2 linked regions of the Struthio camelus genome follow. The protein of the gene in region 1 interacts with the protein of each later gene in a pairwise test. Links are inferred from orthologs where the notes say so. Each region holds a gene or a part of one and is shown in the gene's direction. Other genes may lie near its edges.

Evidence for each region.
Region 2: the proteins of ARID5A (region 1) and SOX5 interact in a two-hybrid assay, tested with the Homo sapiens proteins (2 studies listed by BioGRID and IntAct). The two-hybrid records come from large-scale screens. The link is inferred for Struthio camelus from reciprocal best matches to the Homo sapiens genes ARID5A and SOX5.

Annotation. Positions count from the first base shown.
Region 1 is NC_090968.1:1,207,172-1,214,752, forward strand, and holds the start of ARID5A (AT-rich interactive domain-containing protein 5A), read left to right. Parts: upstream 1-4,488; 5' UTR 4,489-4,696; intron 4,697-7,151; 5' UTR 7,152-7,201; coding exon 7,202-7,288; intron 7,289-7,581. Other genes in the region: STE20-like serine/threonine-protein kinase, read right to left, coding at 1-10, 1,238-1,804. UniProt on the Homo sapiens protein: DNA-binding protein that may regulate transcription and act as a repressor by binding to AT-rich stretches in the promoter region of target genes.
Region 2 is NC_090942.1:74,910,252-74,918,200, forward strand, and holds the start of SOX5 (transcription factor SOX-5), read left to right. Parts: upstream 1-4,852; 5' UTR 4,853-4,981; coding exon 4,982-5,073; intron 5,074-5,562; exon of another isoform or gene 5,563-5,859; coding exon of another isoform or gene 5,860-5,897; intron 5,898-7,949.

The DNA of each region.
Region 1 (7,581 bases):
TGTTCTGGGCCTGGAGAAAAGACGTTTAAGGCAGTTGGGAAAAAAGGTTTTGCAAGCATGCGCTACGTCGTGTGCTGCGGTGCGTTGTGACGTGATACGTGGCGTCGCAAGATGATCTAGCCGGCCACATTTCAATGAAACGTCCTATCGCGATAGGGTGCTCCATATTATGATATTATATCATGCCATGACCCTGGCTTGTATCGTGAGCCTGGAATAGCCCCTCTCCTCTAGCAGACCAGGCCAGGAGCCAGGATTTTGGGTCCCTGCCCCAGCCCAGAGCATGGCTGGCGGGGACCAGGCGCATCTCCCCAACCTAGAGGAAGTCCTTGCGGTTTTCAAGCGTGACGTGTTCACAGATGATGGCTGCCACCACAAAGTCGGTGCCAAGAGGGAAATTTTCCCAAACAAGAGGCTGGTTTTGGCCAGGTCCAGCCTGGGGAGGGTTCCCGGTGCCACAAGTGCACCGACCACGCCAGGGCTCTGCACGATGGGCCCCAGAGCCGGAAGGCGGCTGCTGCTGGGGCGCCGCGGGCCCCGGGGAGCAGCACGGCGGGTTTCCTGTTGAGCTCAGCCTCTGCATCGCGGTTGTGGTGACAACAAGAGATTAAAAAACAGCCCTGTCTCAAACTCACGGCAAAACGAAGGATGTAAACGTTCCTGCTGTGCCCGGCTCTGGGATCTCCTGCTGAAAAAAGAGGGGAGGGGACAAACCCCAACCAACCTCATGCAGAAACACCCCAGGGAACGGTCCTTCCTGCCACCCATTTGCACCCTGGAAAGGGACCGTTCCCGATTGCCCTGTGCCCGAGGAGCTGCTTGACCCCGGGAAAGCGGTGGCTCTTTCGGTGCCAGCGAACAGGACTAAGGCAGCCGCCGGCTGCATCCCAAGGCCACGGGGGTCCCCAGCGTCCCCATCGTGTGCCCTCTCCCTCCCAGCAAAGGGAGCCACTAAAAACCCAAGGCAATTTGGAGGCTTTCCAGCTTATCACAGCGCGTGCTGGATGCTGTTCGATGACCGTCACTTATAAGGCTATAAGGTGGCACTGACCACGGCTGCAGGGGAGAAAAAAGGAAGCATTTAGGGTGCCATTTCCAAAACAAAGTCCTGCAGGCATTTTCTGAAGCTCTTTCCCAGGAGAACGGGCTTGATCCGTGGCCGGACTGCCGGGAAGCCTGCGCCGAGCTGCGATGCCGGCGGCACCGGGCCGCTCGCCCTTCGCTCCCCGTCGCCTACCTTGAAGACCTTGCCGAAGGCGCCGTCGCCCAACTCGCCCAGCACCAGCCACGCGTCCTCAGGGTTGACGTCCCGCCTGACATGCTGGTAGCGCCTTGGCTTCTTCTTCTCCGTGCCCAAGCGGAAAAGTCGCCGGAAGAAAGCCATGGGGCAAGGTGTTTTTAGGGGGAAAGAGATGAGCTGGGGCAGGCTGCCACCTCCATCCAGGGAGGACGGGGACCTCCTGGGGCGGCCGGGAACCTCTCGCTCTTCCTGCCTCGCTCGCGCAGGAAGCGGGCTCGGCGGCGGTGGCCACGGGGGCCGGCTCGAACAGGGCTGCGCAGGATGTGCCGGGGAGGAGAGGCGTGTCAGAGGTGCCGCTGCGAGCCCGGGTGCCGCAGAGGTGCCCGTGCAGATGGTCTGGCCTTGCTCAGCATGAGCAGGAGGCTTCTGGCTCGGTGCATGCTCCAGGGAGCAGCCCAAAAGCCCTAAAAGGGATTTATTCCCGCAAACACCCACTAAGTTGTCCCCTCGCCAAGCCGATGCGCTGGGCGAGTGCAGCATGCATGCACACGTGTGCACATGCATGCACGCCGGGGTCCCCAGCAGGGCTGGCTCGGCAGCGGACACAGCCAGGCATGGCTGCAGCCAGGCAGGAGACCAGCACCCTCCAGCACAGCTAAATAGAGGCTAAAAGCCTCCAGCTGAGCTTAAATAGAGCCCCTGCACCCATGGGTGCAGGTGAAGCTTTAGGTGAGGCTGCTCAGGGCTGTTAAAGCTTATTTGTGCCCCCAGGACCTAAGTACAGGGATATAGTTTATGGTTTTCTTTTCATAATACATAGTTAGACATGCAGTTTAAAATAAAGCATTGTATTTATACCTAAACCCAGATGCATCGGGCAGCATTTACCCATGTAGGGAGGTGTCTGCGTACGGCTTTGCTCTTGTCATCACCTCGCGAGAGACCCGGTTGCTTCCCCCTCCGTCAGCCCGGCCAGCCGAGGCATCGCTGGGGCGAGGAGCCGTCGGCTTGACTGCGCCTTGCGGCCTTCTCTCTCTGCCCAGTAGCGGGGGGGGGAAAAATCACTGCAGGGGGAAATTCAGCCGGATCGACCGGGACCGGACCTGCACCCACCAGGGAGGTTACGTCCTGGCGCTGCGGCTCGGGCGAGCGGACCCATCGGGGAGCCGGGTTGCACCTCTCCGTCGGCTCATCAGCCACTGTTATAGCAGTGCGGCCTCGAATCTTCACGAGCCGGCCTGGCTCGCTGCCACGTGCGCTCAGGCACATCCCGGGGCTTTCCGACCACCCGCCTTTCTTTTTTCTTTTTTTTCCTTTCTCTCCTCCTCGGTAGGTCCTGGCTGCAGGCTTGCCCTGGAGCTGCCTCTCACACCCTCAGCACCAAAAATAAGGTGCTGCTGGCCGCAAGCCCGCGTGCCAGGATGGAGCAGCCGGAGACCCTGCAGCATCACAGGATAATCGAGGCTGCAGAGGCTTTAGGACGTCGCTAGTCTGAGCTCAAAGCAGCCTTGGATGCGATGTGAGACCAGACTGATCCTGCACCACCGAGTGCCTCTGGCAGATTCAGGGTTTGGGGGAATTTAGGCCAGCCCTGTTCTTTCCTTGCCTGCTGAGGTGGCTCTTTCCTCCATGAAAAACAGCCCATTTCTCTGGCCAGCTTTCAGAGGAGTGGGATGAAACCACCGTGCGGCCCGGAGCCTGCCGCAAAGCAGCGGGTCTCTGCCTGTTTTACACATTGGCTGAGCACTGCCCCCTTTCAGCACACCAATGACAGAGCCAGACTTAGCCTGACTGCTGCCTAACCAAAGTATATTGAGCTCAGTAACTCACATTCCCTAAAGCAGGTCTTCCAGAAAGAGGCCATGCAAAGACACGGAGAAAACACATTTTTGGGAGGGACCTTCCTATCCCTCATGGTCCAAAGCAAGGACGCGTCTTCCCAAAGGGGTTGGCGCCCACCCTGCGGGTGCTTGACTCCCCACAGGCCTCAAATGCAATTTATTTCCAGCCTGACACTGTCCTCTAGTGGCATGCGGGCAACAAAAGGGAATTTATTATAGTGTCCGGCCGGGTGGGAAGAAAAACTATAAAACCCTCCTGCCCAGCTGGATGCGGCTCCTTGTGCCCTGCCGGGAGGAGCAGGAGGGAGGAAAGCGGCAGGGAGCCGGTCGGTGCGCTTTGTGCTAGGGGAAACCGAGGCTGAGCTTTTGTACAAATCGATATTGCCCGATCTCACCGTCCCTTGAAGAATTTCCCAGCCCGGGAGGACCCGGAGGCTGTTTACTGGCGGGATTTCTCTTTCTCGCTCTGACTGGCAGCTCTGAGTCAGGCCTCGCGGGCGCGCTTTCCGGTAACGAAAGGGTTAACGCCGCCGTCGGAAACACCTCGCCACTCATCTCTGCCCTGCGCGGCGCCCGGTTTCAGCATCGGGGCCCGTCGGGGCCCGTCGGGGCACCCCTCAACCCCGCCGGCTCCCGCTGCCCCCCCCCCCCCCGCCCGCCGCCGGCGGCTCGAGGTTTTCCCACGGCGCCCCGCCGCGCACCCGCGGAGCCGGCGAGCGCAGCCGCCGCGTCCCCCCCGCCCCGTCCCCGCGTCCCTCTGTCCCGCCGCTTCTGCTTCCTCCGCGCCCCCGGCTGCCGGGTCCGGGATGACTCACGGGGGATTTTTTTTGGGGCTCTTTCGCAGCTCCGGCGCAAGGCGGAGGGGGATTCTGCGAGCCCGGCCGGGAGCTCGGACCTGGCCACGTCCCCTGCCCCCCCCCCCCCGACACTGGGGACACTGGGGACACTGGGCGCCGCGGCCAGCCCCGGGCACGGATGCTCTGGCCGCGGATAAGTCCATCTCCGCTCCGAATGGCCGGTTTGAGATGATTTTCTTGCCAGCGCCCGGCGGCGCTGCCTCGGGATAATCCAGCCGTCCAAAGCGAAACAAAAAGGGATTGATTAAAAAAAAAGAAAAAGGAAAAGCAATGTGCAAGCGAGAGGTGCTGAAGGGTCAGGATGACCCCGCTGCCCGCCGCAGCCGCGCTCCCGGCCCGGCCCCGGCGGCAGCCCCGCTCCGGCAGCGCGTCCCCGCGGGGCACCGGGACCGGAGCGGCCGCGGCCACGGACCCGGCCGGGGCACCGGGCCGGGAGCAGCCGGGCCGGGGTGGGGGGGAACCGCGCTGGAAATCCCTGCACACTCATTCAGCGAGGCAGCGGGCTCCCCGCCGGCGAGAGCCCCAAAAAGTCCGGGCGTTCCGGTAACGAAAGAGTCAATCGCGCACATGTACACACACACGCACACACACACACACACACACACGCGCGCACACACACACACACACACGCCACTTCCCTGAGTGGGGGATGACTCATCCCCCAGCCCTTCATCCCCGATAGAAGTAACACAAGCAAACCACAGCGCTCTTCCTCCGGCCTCGCCGATGCACCGCCCGCCGCTCGCCCGCTGAAGCCGGTGAGTTCGGGCGACCCGGGGCCGGGCAGAGGGGGGAGGAATTTCGCGATGGCGACCGGACCGGGAAAGCTTCGGGATGCTACCGGGAAGGATTTCGGGATACGACTTGACGGCAGGCTTCAGCCCCGCTAGAGCGCTTCCCCCCCCCCCCGCCCCCAACACCCCGCGCAGCTGAGGCCCGACACACTCAGCGCACGCACGGAGCGGCAGTGCTGCCTGAGTGCGGGGACGGGACGAGGACGGCACGAACCTTTCCGGGGGTGGCGGAAACGGGTCTTTTTACTCTATAAGGGTGGGGGGGTCCCGAACAGCACCCCCCCCCCGGGGCTCCAGCACCCGGGTCCGGACAAAGCCGTCTCCGGGGCGGGCTGGAGCCGCCGGGGCCGGGGCCGGGGCCGGAGCTGGGACCGGGGCCGGGACCGGGGCCGGAGCCGGGGCCGGGACCGGGGCAGCGGCGGCGCCCGCCGCCCGGGCCGCGCTGGCTGATGTAAGGCGGTATTTTAATTCTCTTACAAGGAGCGGGCTTTAGAGGAATGACTTAAGTGGATTACTCATCCGCTGTAATGACTTGGCAGCGCTCCCGTGCTATTCCTAGACATGACGCTCAAAGCTTTGATTCTTCCTCTTCTGCTGCTTTTTTTTTTTTACTTTATTTTTTGTTCCCCTACTTTTCTTTCTTTTTTTTTTCTTTTTTTTTTTTTTTGCTCTCTTTCTAACGAGAAATTACCCCGCTGCGTTTTTTCGCAAAAGCCGCGCGGCGCCCTGGGAAACGTAGTGCGCTGCCGGGAAGCGCCGAGCCCAGCGGGTCCAAGGCCTGGACGAGGAGGGGAGAATAGCAGAATCTGCCTGAAAAAAATGCTGCAAAAAAGCCAGTTTGGGTCCGGGTCCCCCCCGGGACCCTCCTGGCCCCTTTCCCAGGAGGCGAGGTCCCGCCGCCCAGTTCAGGCCCGGCGGGCTCGGGTGAGCCGCTGGGCGCTTGGGCAAGGCGGCGCTGCAAAGCCTCGGTTTTTTCCCACCGCTTTGAGCGGTTTACCCAAAATTGCCGCTTTTCCCCTAGCATGCGGCGCCCTGGCCCTCCCCCGACCCCCCCTCAAAGGGTGCGTTGGGGCCACTGCTCCCGTTTCCTGCTCTTTCGCAGCAATAACCAGAAAGAGAGGAAATAACGTCAGCCGTTCTTTTAATTCTTCGCACTGACAGTAAGCCGGCACTGCACCAAATCCGAGCCGGCGAAATCACAGCGCAGCAAACTGCCTCACCCCGGCACCCACCCCCTTTAAAACCCCCTTTTTTTTGGAGGAGGGGGTTTAAAACTCAGTTTTGGGGGCCGAAAGCAGTGGCCGGTTAGAGGTGGCTGAGCACAAAACGATGCCCGGCGCACACCCCGACCTGCGGGCGCTCGTGTATGCGCAGCCCCCCCACGCCGCCCCGTGCACGCGCGGCCGCAGGTGCACGCACATGCGCCCGCACGCACACCCATAGTAGGCACACATGCACCTTGTCCGCACCCGTGTGCACGCATGCACGCCCACCGAGGGGGGGGGGCCCCCACGCACATGCTTGCACATGCATGCACCTGCTTGCACACACATGCACCTGCTTGCACACGTGTGTACCCGCTTGCACATGCATGCACCTGCTTGCACACACGTGTACCTGCTTGCACACGCGTGCACCCACTTGCACATGCATGTACCCACTTGCACACGCACGCCCCCCCCCCCCGGCCATGCACACCCCTGAATGCGCGCGCCCACATTTGCACGCCCCTGCGTCCTCCCCTCCCCACCCCACCGGGAGGAGGATTTTGGGGGGGGGGGTGCAGCCAGCAGGACTACAACTCCCAGCATGCCCTTCGCCAGGGAGGGAGAGGCGTGCCCCGGCGGGGGGGGACGGGCGGCGGCGCGCTCCAATAGGAGAGGGGGGGCGTGGCGGCGCCGCCCAATGGGAGGCCGGGGCGGTGGGCGCGGCGCGCCGGGGGTGTCACATGGCGCGGGCGCGGCGGCGGGTGAGCGGCGCCGGTACCGGATCGCACCGGAGGGGAAGGGGGGGGTCCGGCTACCCCCTTCCTCCCTCCACACAGCCCCCAGGGGTCGACCCTACCGGAGCAGGCGCTGCCTCAGTTTCCCTAGGGTGAAAAACCAAATTTCCCAATTTGCCCAAATTTCTTTGGAAAAAAAAAAAAAGTGATTTTTTTTTTTTGGTAAAACTGGAAAATTTGCAGCAGGGGAGCCCCGCCGGGGAAAAGGGGGGGGGGGTCAGGCTGACTCTTTTCCCACGCCGCGGGATCACCCGCCAGGCACCGAAATCGGCCGTCCGGCCGATTTCGGTGCCTGGCGGGTGATCCCGCGGCCCGAATAATCCCCGTTAATTCATTTTTTTTTTTCCCCACCGCATTTTGGTTCGTTGTCTCATTTCACCCACTTTTCCCACCCGCCCCCCCACCCCGCCACCGCAGCCCCCCCGCCCCGGCCCGAACGGCGAGCGGACGGAGGGCAGCCGGCCCGCATGGAGGAGGCCAGCCAAACCCAGCCGGCCTCGCCGGAGGAGGACAAACCCAAAACCGAGAGAAACGAAGCCATCGTGGAGCCACCGGTGAGTCCCCCCAGGAGGGGAAAAAAATATATATATATAGATCAAAAAATATATATATAAAAACAAAAAAATCCGCAAAAAAACGGAGGTTTCACCGGCGGCGTCGACGCTGCCGGCCCGCCCTGCCGCCTGCTGAAAAAAAAAAAAAAACCCGGGTGTTTTTTTTGGGGAGGGGGGGTTGGCGCGGGCCCGGCCGTTCAAAACGCCGCGAGCGGTTAAAAAGACTAGAAAGAACAAGCAAAAAAAAAAAATAGTGGAGCCGAGCAGCTGCTTTGCCCAAAAATAGCAACAAG
Region 2 (7,949 bases), on another chromosome or scaffold:
TGAGGTTCCTTTACTCTGGTAAATGTGGAGTGGACAGAATCAAAGTGTGCTAACTTGATTTTTTAACAAATGATTAGGATCTTTATTTTAAAGTTTAGTGACCTTTTAGGGAAGTTTGAATTCAAATTTTAGCTGAAGGTTCGTATTTCTCCTTTAGGATAGTGTCAGTTCCCTTTTGCAGGGAGGGTTGCAGATGATAGGCCACTGCTGAAATTACACGTAAACAGCTGCTAAATTGGGGCTTCCCATTTGCAAATGAGAAGGTTTTATTTTTCCTTGAAGAAATACAGTAAATTGAATAACCCTAAATAGCACAGGAATTTCAGTTCTGTAGGCTGTCTTCTCCTCAGATTTTGCTATACTATATTCAGCACTGAGTTTTGCCAACACCAAACATGCCTGATGTGGCATTTACATTCATTTAAAAAAAAAAAAAGGCATAAATTAGTTATATTTCTAAGAGTTAACTTCTCCTCTTGACACATGTACTTAATTCCCATTAATGGAAATGGCAGTTAGGCATGCACACTGAAAGGAAAAATCTGTTCCTAAGCATATGATCCAAACTGCATTGTAGCTAAACATTTCCATACTCTGAAGCAAGCACTCATTATTTGCAAGATATTCTTCATAATAAATGCATCAACCCCACGCCATTCTCCCTCCATTCTCTCTCAACCTGTTCCAAAACATCCTTTCTTAGAAATTTTACAGATTAATTTTAATGCTGTAGTTGTTTTGGATACGTGCCTTAAAAAGAAAGGGTCTTTGGAGTTTTGCATATTTTCTGTGAGAATTTTCCAGTAAATCATTGTGCGGAACATCTTACATTTCCTTGGACTTTGTAGGTGTCTATTATTAAAACTTACAGTGGAAACAACAAAGCCCGCAAAGCTCACTTTTTTTTTTCCAGCACTTCCTTCACTTATTGTATTGTAGCGTCTGCCAAAGGCACTAGGCTGAAGTATTATCATTTGATTTTAAGAACTTGTTTCTGTTTAGCTTAAAGTTTTTCTTTCCGCCAATATGAAGGTATAAAAACCTGTGGATTAGAAATACCTTAACTCTGGAATATTAGATATATCTAACTTGAGCAGGGTGGATAATTGATTTTTTTTTTTTTTTTTGGTTTACCTCTTGAACTGGAGAGCCACTATAGCAACAAAACTCAAATTATAAACTCTTCCATGAATTTTTATACTTAGCTGAATTTATTTCCCTCATCTAAATGAAGGTCGGAACTTTTTTGTTTAATTCAACACAAATTGTCTCGTTTTACCTGGACTTTCTTGTGTTGGGCACCCTTAAGGGAAGCAGATGTGGGGAAAGAGAAATGGGGAAAAAAGGTTCAATTTTCTCATCAGTTTAAGATATTTGAACTTACATATCCAGATTTGAGAAGACAATTGGACATAGATCTGCATCGCAAGTGAATTTTCTAACTACTGACCTGCTCAGTAAAAAGGGGCATCAAGACTTGCTATTGCCAGTGAAAAGTTTCAGGACAAGGTAAAATGTCATATGTTAAAATTTGGACAGTTGCATATTACATACATTTTCTTATTTCTCAGTCAGTGATCATTTATCTGAATTTGTTAGTTTTTCCACTTTGTGATAACAACCTTTGTTATGTGTCCTTGCTGTTTCTAAAAAGCAAGTCTTTCAAGTTAACGCAATGTGATTGTAGGAAGGTTTCAAAGATTCTCTAAAACCATTTGTTTGGCCTTCTTTATCTTCCTCTCGCAATTGCAGTTAGATGAACTTACAAGAACATAATTTTATAGCTAGAAATACAATGGTAACAGTAACTTTTTTTTTTTTTTCTCCTGTTGGACCCAACTCTGTTTCCTCCCACTGAACTGGGAGAGGGAGCTCAATAGCTGCAGAAAAAATAAGGTAGGTAGCTTAGCAAAAAGCATAATGGGGTAATGGTAAATGTTATAAACTAAGGTAAGGGGGGGAGGGGGGAAAGGGAAGAAATCTGAAAGATATCTGAGCAAGAGGGGGAGCTGAAAAGGAGAGGGGAAAATGGAAGAAAGGAAGTAGAGACCATTCCTCTGAATGCTTTTGACTAGGCCCTTTATTAGGGCTCTTTGTATTTTTTCTAGTTTAGTCAAATTCCTGTTCCGTATTTCCTGATATTGATGGTGATTGTTCGTGTTTATAATCATAGTAGCTGAGAGCCAGCCAAGAAGGAGCCCCATTGTGCACAAACTTGGAGGAGTACATCCTCATTGCCCCGAAGATCTTACCGCTGATATAGGAAGTGACATAGGAAGGGGTAAATACATGTGAACAGAGGATGGAAGGACGTGGTGGAAAAAAGGCAGTTGCGGAGCAGAGGTGAGATGAAAAGAGAGCTGAATGGCGTTAACATGCAGTCAAAATGTGATAGTCCTGTTCTGCCAAAACTGTTGCCAATTCTTTGACTAAAAGGTCATCTTCATTTTCCCCTAGCTGGGGTTTCTGACTGGCTTCTCTTTGCAGACTTCTCCCAAGGCTGTAAGTGAGGAAGCAAGGGAAGTAAAGTAAAAAGTGGCAGAGAGGAACAGCATCCTGGAAGTACTGAGGGGCAATGGTGCATCAACAGAAAAACAAAAGCCCAAGAAAAAGGGGCCTCACAAATACTGAAAAGTGTGAATAAATCTCTGAAGTGCGTTTTAACCAAGCAGTTAGATGTAAAAATCATGCCTTTGTAGAAAAAACAGCTAAAATATACTTCTGGTCACAGGGAGGAACGTGTTTCAGCAGCGTAGGGACTCTTGCCGACTGCAGGGCACATGGGATCTTTGTTTCTCATCCTTTTGCTGAAGTTGTCTAACTGTGTCGGCATGGGCAAGCTACTTAACCTGTCTGCATCTTAGTTTCCTTATTTGAGGCCAAATTCTCCTACTGAGCAGCCCCTTACTCCACACAGATTTGCTGATTTGAAAAGAGCCCCTGTGGAGCGAGATACTTTTCAATACAAATAAAGTTTTGGAATAGGCCCTAATTATATTTATTACCTGCAGAGGAGTAATGTGAGACTTAACATGGTTTGAGACCCTCAGCTGAAAGAAGTAGTATTTGCAATTGTTCTTTTTAATCATCCGCAGCCTTTTCAATGTCTATTTCATAGCTATCCTAAAAGGGCTCGCTCCTAAACCACAAATAAAAAAATAAAAAATCCTTGTCCACGTTAACTAGGTCTGTCAGTCTGCTGTGAATGAACCTCTGTGGCGAATACGATGTGCCAGGGGCTGCCGAAGGAAACGAGTTTACCCTGCCCCACGGTGAGGAGCCCTTAGATGTACCTCACGCCAGAAGTTGACAGATTCTGCGCGACTCCGCTCTGAGCGCGGGTGTGAGGCAGGCTGGAGAGACGGTCTTCGCGGATACCCTTTTATGAACGATAACGAAGGCGCCTTCGCAAACTTAGCTGCCGTGTTTCGCTTCATGAATGGTGTAGTGCTCTTTTGGGAGGATGCGCGTAACTTGCGAGTGGCTTTGCTGTTTGTGATTAAAATGATCATCCCGGTGCTCTGGCCGATGCTGCCTTTACGCCGCGCTGGACTGACTGGCCCCTGTGTGAGCCTGCCGTCTTACCACACGTGCGTTGAGAGTAAATAGAAACAAATTAAAGAGCGGAGCTGTTGGACATTGATAAAAAATAATAAGCCTTTTCTTTTTGGAATTTTTTTAAGCCAGTGGGCATGAAAAGGTTGAGCGGTTTACGGCCGCTCTGTGTCAGTATGTGTGCGTGCACTTGTACGTATTTTGAAAAGTAAACTTGCTCTCTCCTTGTGACTGGGAGGTAGGGGTAAGTGGGGAAGAGAGGGGGCAGTGGACCTAATCAAACTGTGGTGAGGTCAAAACCTCATGGTTTTTAAAGGCTCTTAATGTTATCCAGCTGCAAATTAAAAAAAAAAAAAAAAAGAGAGAGAGAGAAAGGAATTAGGGTTGGGGAAATGGAAAGAATGGAGTATAGATATGTGCTTGTGTGTGGGTGTGTGTGCATGTGTGTGTTAAAGAACAGGCAGACTTAGTTTTTGCTTTTTTCTTTCCTTTCCCCCCTCCTTCTTCTCCCCCCCCCCCCCCCCCGCGCCTAACGCGAGTTCAGTGCCAGGCTGGACATTGGCCGTGCAGACTATTGAGCCATTGTCTGCTGCGTTTCCAGAATAGCCCCCAGTTAATCGCTTGGGCTTTGAAGGGAATTTCCTCGTGGGATTCTCCGCAGCAGACCTAATCCAGTGACCTGCCCTGCCGACGACGGCAGGCTCCCCGCAGCCGCTTGCCTTCCCCCCCCCAGCACCACCACCACCAGCCACCTCCACCCCCGGCTCCGCCGCGGCGGGGCGGGCTCTGCGGTGTCGCCTTTTGTGCAGCCTGAGCCCTCCCAGTAGGAGTGGAGAGCTGGTCTCCCTCTGCCTCCCCTCGCTGCCTCCGCGCGTGTGTGTGTGTGTGTGTGTGTGATGTGGAGGGTTGGCGCTGCCCTGCCCTGCCCGTGTGGATGCGGTGCGGGTGCCGCGCCGTTTGACCAGATGCTGCAGTGCACCGGCCGGCCCCGGTCTCTGCCTGTGTGTATGTGCGAGCGCGGGTGTGCGTGCGCCTCTGTCATTTCATGTCAAAGGTCCATTACCTGATTACCTTCCTCGCCTGCCAGATTTTTATCTAGATAATTGGAACTGCAATGGAGGCCGTGTGCTGCCAGCCAGCTTAAAGGAGGGGTGGGGGGCGGAGGGGGGGGGGTGTCTCTCAAACCACAGTTTGTCCACCTTGTTATCTGTGGCTGTCTGGGCAGAGGAAATTAAAGAGATCCACAGCTGAGGGACTCCTTCGGCTTGCTCGAGGGGGAGGGAATTAAAACCAAAAAAGCCCTAGAAGACAAAAAGTTTATTTTTGCTGTGTGTGTGTGTGTGTGTGAGCGCGGGGTGTGTGCGTGTGCGCGCACGCTGTCTTGGCATGTGGATACCTTTTCCCTTCCACACAACAGGGCTGTTTGATGGAGTTTGGAGCTGAGGAAACTTTGGTTTTGTTGCCAGGACGGTTCGCAGCACTTTGTGGAAAGCAAGAGCTAACAGTGAGACCGACAGAGTGAGTGACAAGTTGTTTACAGGTTTCCTTGAAGGGGCCTCTGCTATATTTCAATCTGTCAAAGTTGCTTTTCTTCCCTCAGAACAATGCCTGATTGTTGTGTTTTTTTTTTCTCTCTCTCTCTCAAAGAGAGAGAAAGAGGGAGAGAAAGAGAGACTAAAAGGGGGGGGGGGAGAGAAAGGAATGAAAATTCTTTCGAGTACAAATGCCTTTGGTAACATTTTTATGTGTCTAATCTTTTTCTCCCCTATTTCAACTCAGAGACAGTTGATAACTGTTTCAATTTAATCAGTCTGCTCTTGTTTTATCTTCTTTCTCCACTGATCTTCCTCAGCGCAGGGGATTTGCTCCTGGTTTGCCGGGTTTAGGTGGATTGTTGGGCTTTCTTTTTTCCGCTCCTTTTCTTTTTTTTTTTTTCTCTTTTCTTTTCTTTTTTTTTTGTTCGTTTTTAGGGCATTAAATGAGTTGACTTTTCACATTCTGTGGTGACTGGAGAGCAGAATTAAAAGGAAAGGACAGGCACCCTGAGGTTGTCTAGTGCCTTGCAGCCGCAGCACGCTGCTCCGCTGTGGGGGGAGCTTTATAAACAGTCTGCTGCGAAGTGTGCTACCCCTTTAAGAGACTGGTCAAGGAGTCCTAGCTCAGAGAGAGAGAGAGAGAGCCAGAGAGAGAGAAAGAGAGAGAGAGAAAATCAATCGGTTTAGAAGGTTTGGACTCACTTGACAGGTTCAGTTGGAGGCGATCATAGGTGGCTGCTGTGACAAAGGGAAATTGTGCTTTTCCAGCATGCTAACTGACCCTGATTTACCTCAGGAGTTTGAAAGGTGAGTCGAGTTGGGGGGGGGGGGAACAGAAAGGGGGGGCGGGTTTGTGTTTTGTTTTTTGGGGTGTGTATGTGTGGGTTTTTTTTTTTTTTTTGCTGTTTCTTTTTGGTCTTGTAGGTTTTTTATTTTTTGCGGGGAGGGGGTTTAATTTGAGTACGCGTGTTAGCGCGCTCGCCCGCGTGTGTGCGAGGCGATGTCCGCGGTGCACACGCACACATAACACACACACACACACACGCACACACACACACACACACGAGAGAGGGGCACGCAACTCCGGCGGCACGGCGGCGAGATGCTTCTTCTTACCCCCCCCCCCCCCCCCCCCCCCCGCGGAACGTTACCTTGGCTATTCAAATCGCGTGTCAGTTAGGCGGGCGCGCGGGGGGGGTGGGGGTGGGGCAGGGGAACCCTCCGTGCCGGCGCCCCGCCGCGCCGGGGATGCTCCCCCGGTACTCAGCTTTGTTCCGCTCCCGAGTGGAGATCTTCATGGACACTATCGTGCCCTCTCTCTCTCTTTTTTTTTTTTTTGTTGTTGTTTGTTTTTTTTTCGCTCGCCTCTCTTCCCCTGCGCTCCCCCCCCCCCCTTTCTCCTCCAACCCCAAACCTTTCCCTGAATCAGCCCACTAAAATACAGGAGGCGATGCTGGGTGCGGAGTGCCTTCATTGTCAGCATCTCCCTGCCCTCCGAGAGTGATTTCCAGGGTGACAGAAGATGTCTGGTGGCGGGGGAAGCGGTGGATTTAACTTCCCATTCGATCCTTCTGTAAAACTTTGGAAGGCGCTCAGTAAAGCACATGACCTTTTGTTGATCTAGCACAAGTGATTATTTTTAGGCAAGTTAACATCCCAGCCCTCCATCAAGAGAACATCCTTTTGGCTTCGAAAAAGTGAAACTCTTGGTTCTAAGTTTTAGCTGTTGCCTCGCTCGCTAAGTGTCAAAAGCGGGATTTTGATTTATGACGTATATACGTTCATCTCCCCCTTTCTGAAGCAGGAGCCTTGCATGTTTGGAATTAAGTTTTTTCTGTCACTGGCAAGGGCTCGTGACCTCCAAGAGTTTAGTCCTTCTTCCATACGATCTAGTGTTTCCAAAAGGTTTTGAAGCATTTTCTCAGACGTTTGTACACACATCCATTGATGATCCAGCATCCTTTCCCTCCGGCTTGATTTTTAAACATTATTAATAGTCCCTTGTTTAGCTGCAATAAACAATTCAAACTTTTCATTTTGAAGTGGTAAATAAAAGAATGCCAGGATGCGTGTTGCTTAGATTTTTTTTTTTTTTTCATTTTCATGAAAGCTACCTCCTGTATAAACATTTGGTTGTATCTGACTATGCAATACAAGCTAGGTGCTAGACCAGCTGGTTAAAAATATGCTAAGTCAAGCTGTTCATCGTTCAAACCTACTGAATTTGATAGTAAAGGCACAGAAAAGAAGGCAAGATAAAAACATTTTAAGTGGGCTGAGAAACACACTTGCAGAGAAAGGACAGGAAAGAATGCCTGCATTAAAAGATCGGAGAAAAATAAAATTGGGAAATTCAGAAAAGAACTATTTTAACACTTTCAGTCCTCTTTCTGCAACTAAACACTTCCTTACTAGAAAGTGGAGTTGGCATTGTTGAACTGTTCCAAGATCTTATTTAATACAATTAATTTTCCAGACTTACTTAGAATATTTGGTATTTTTCTTTGGTTTCTTATTATTGCAGTAATAGGAAAAAAATTATTTTTGTTCACATTTATTGTACTAAGTTAGCTCAACTACCTGAGGAAACAGTTACTGTTCCTGGTGTTGAACCTGATCTAACATCTTGATAATATAGTTGTCTTGTTCATAAAATTAATGGATAAAAGTAATTCATCTAGTTCACTAAGATTATACATAGAAATTTCGAAGCAAGCTATTTAGTTTATACTTTGAACTTTGTGATGAACAGAATACCTATAAAGTCTATTAGGCAGAATGGAAGTCCTTTCATTTTTCTGTTGATGGACTTTCTTTTTCTCTGAAGTCTCTCTGCACGACATATATATATGTATATAA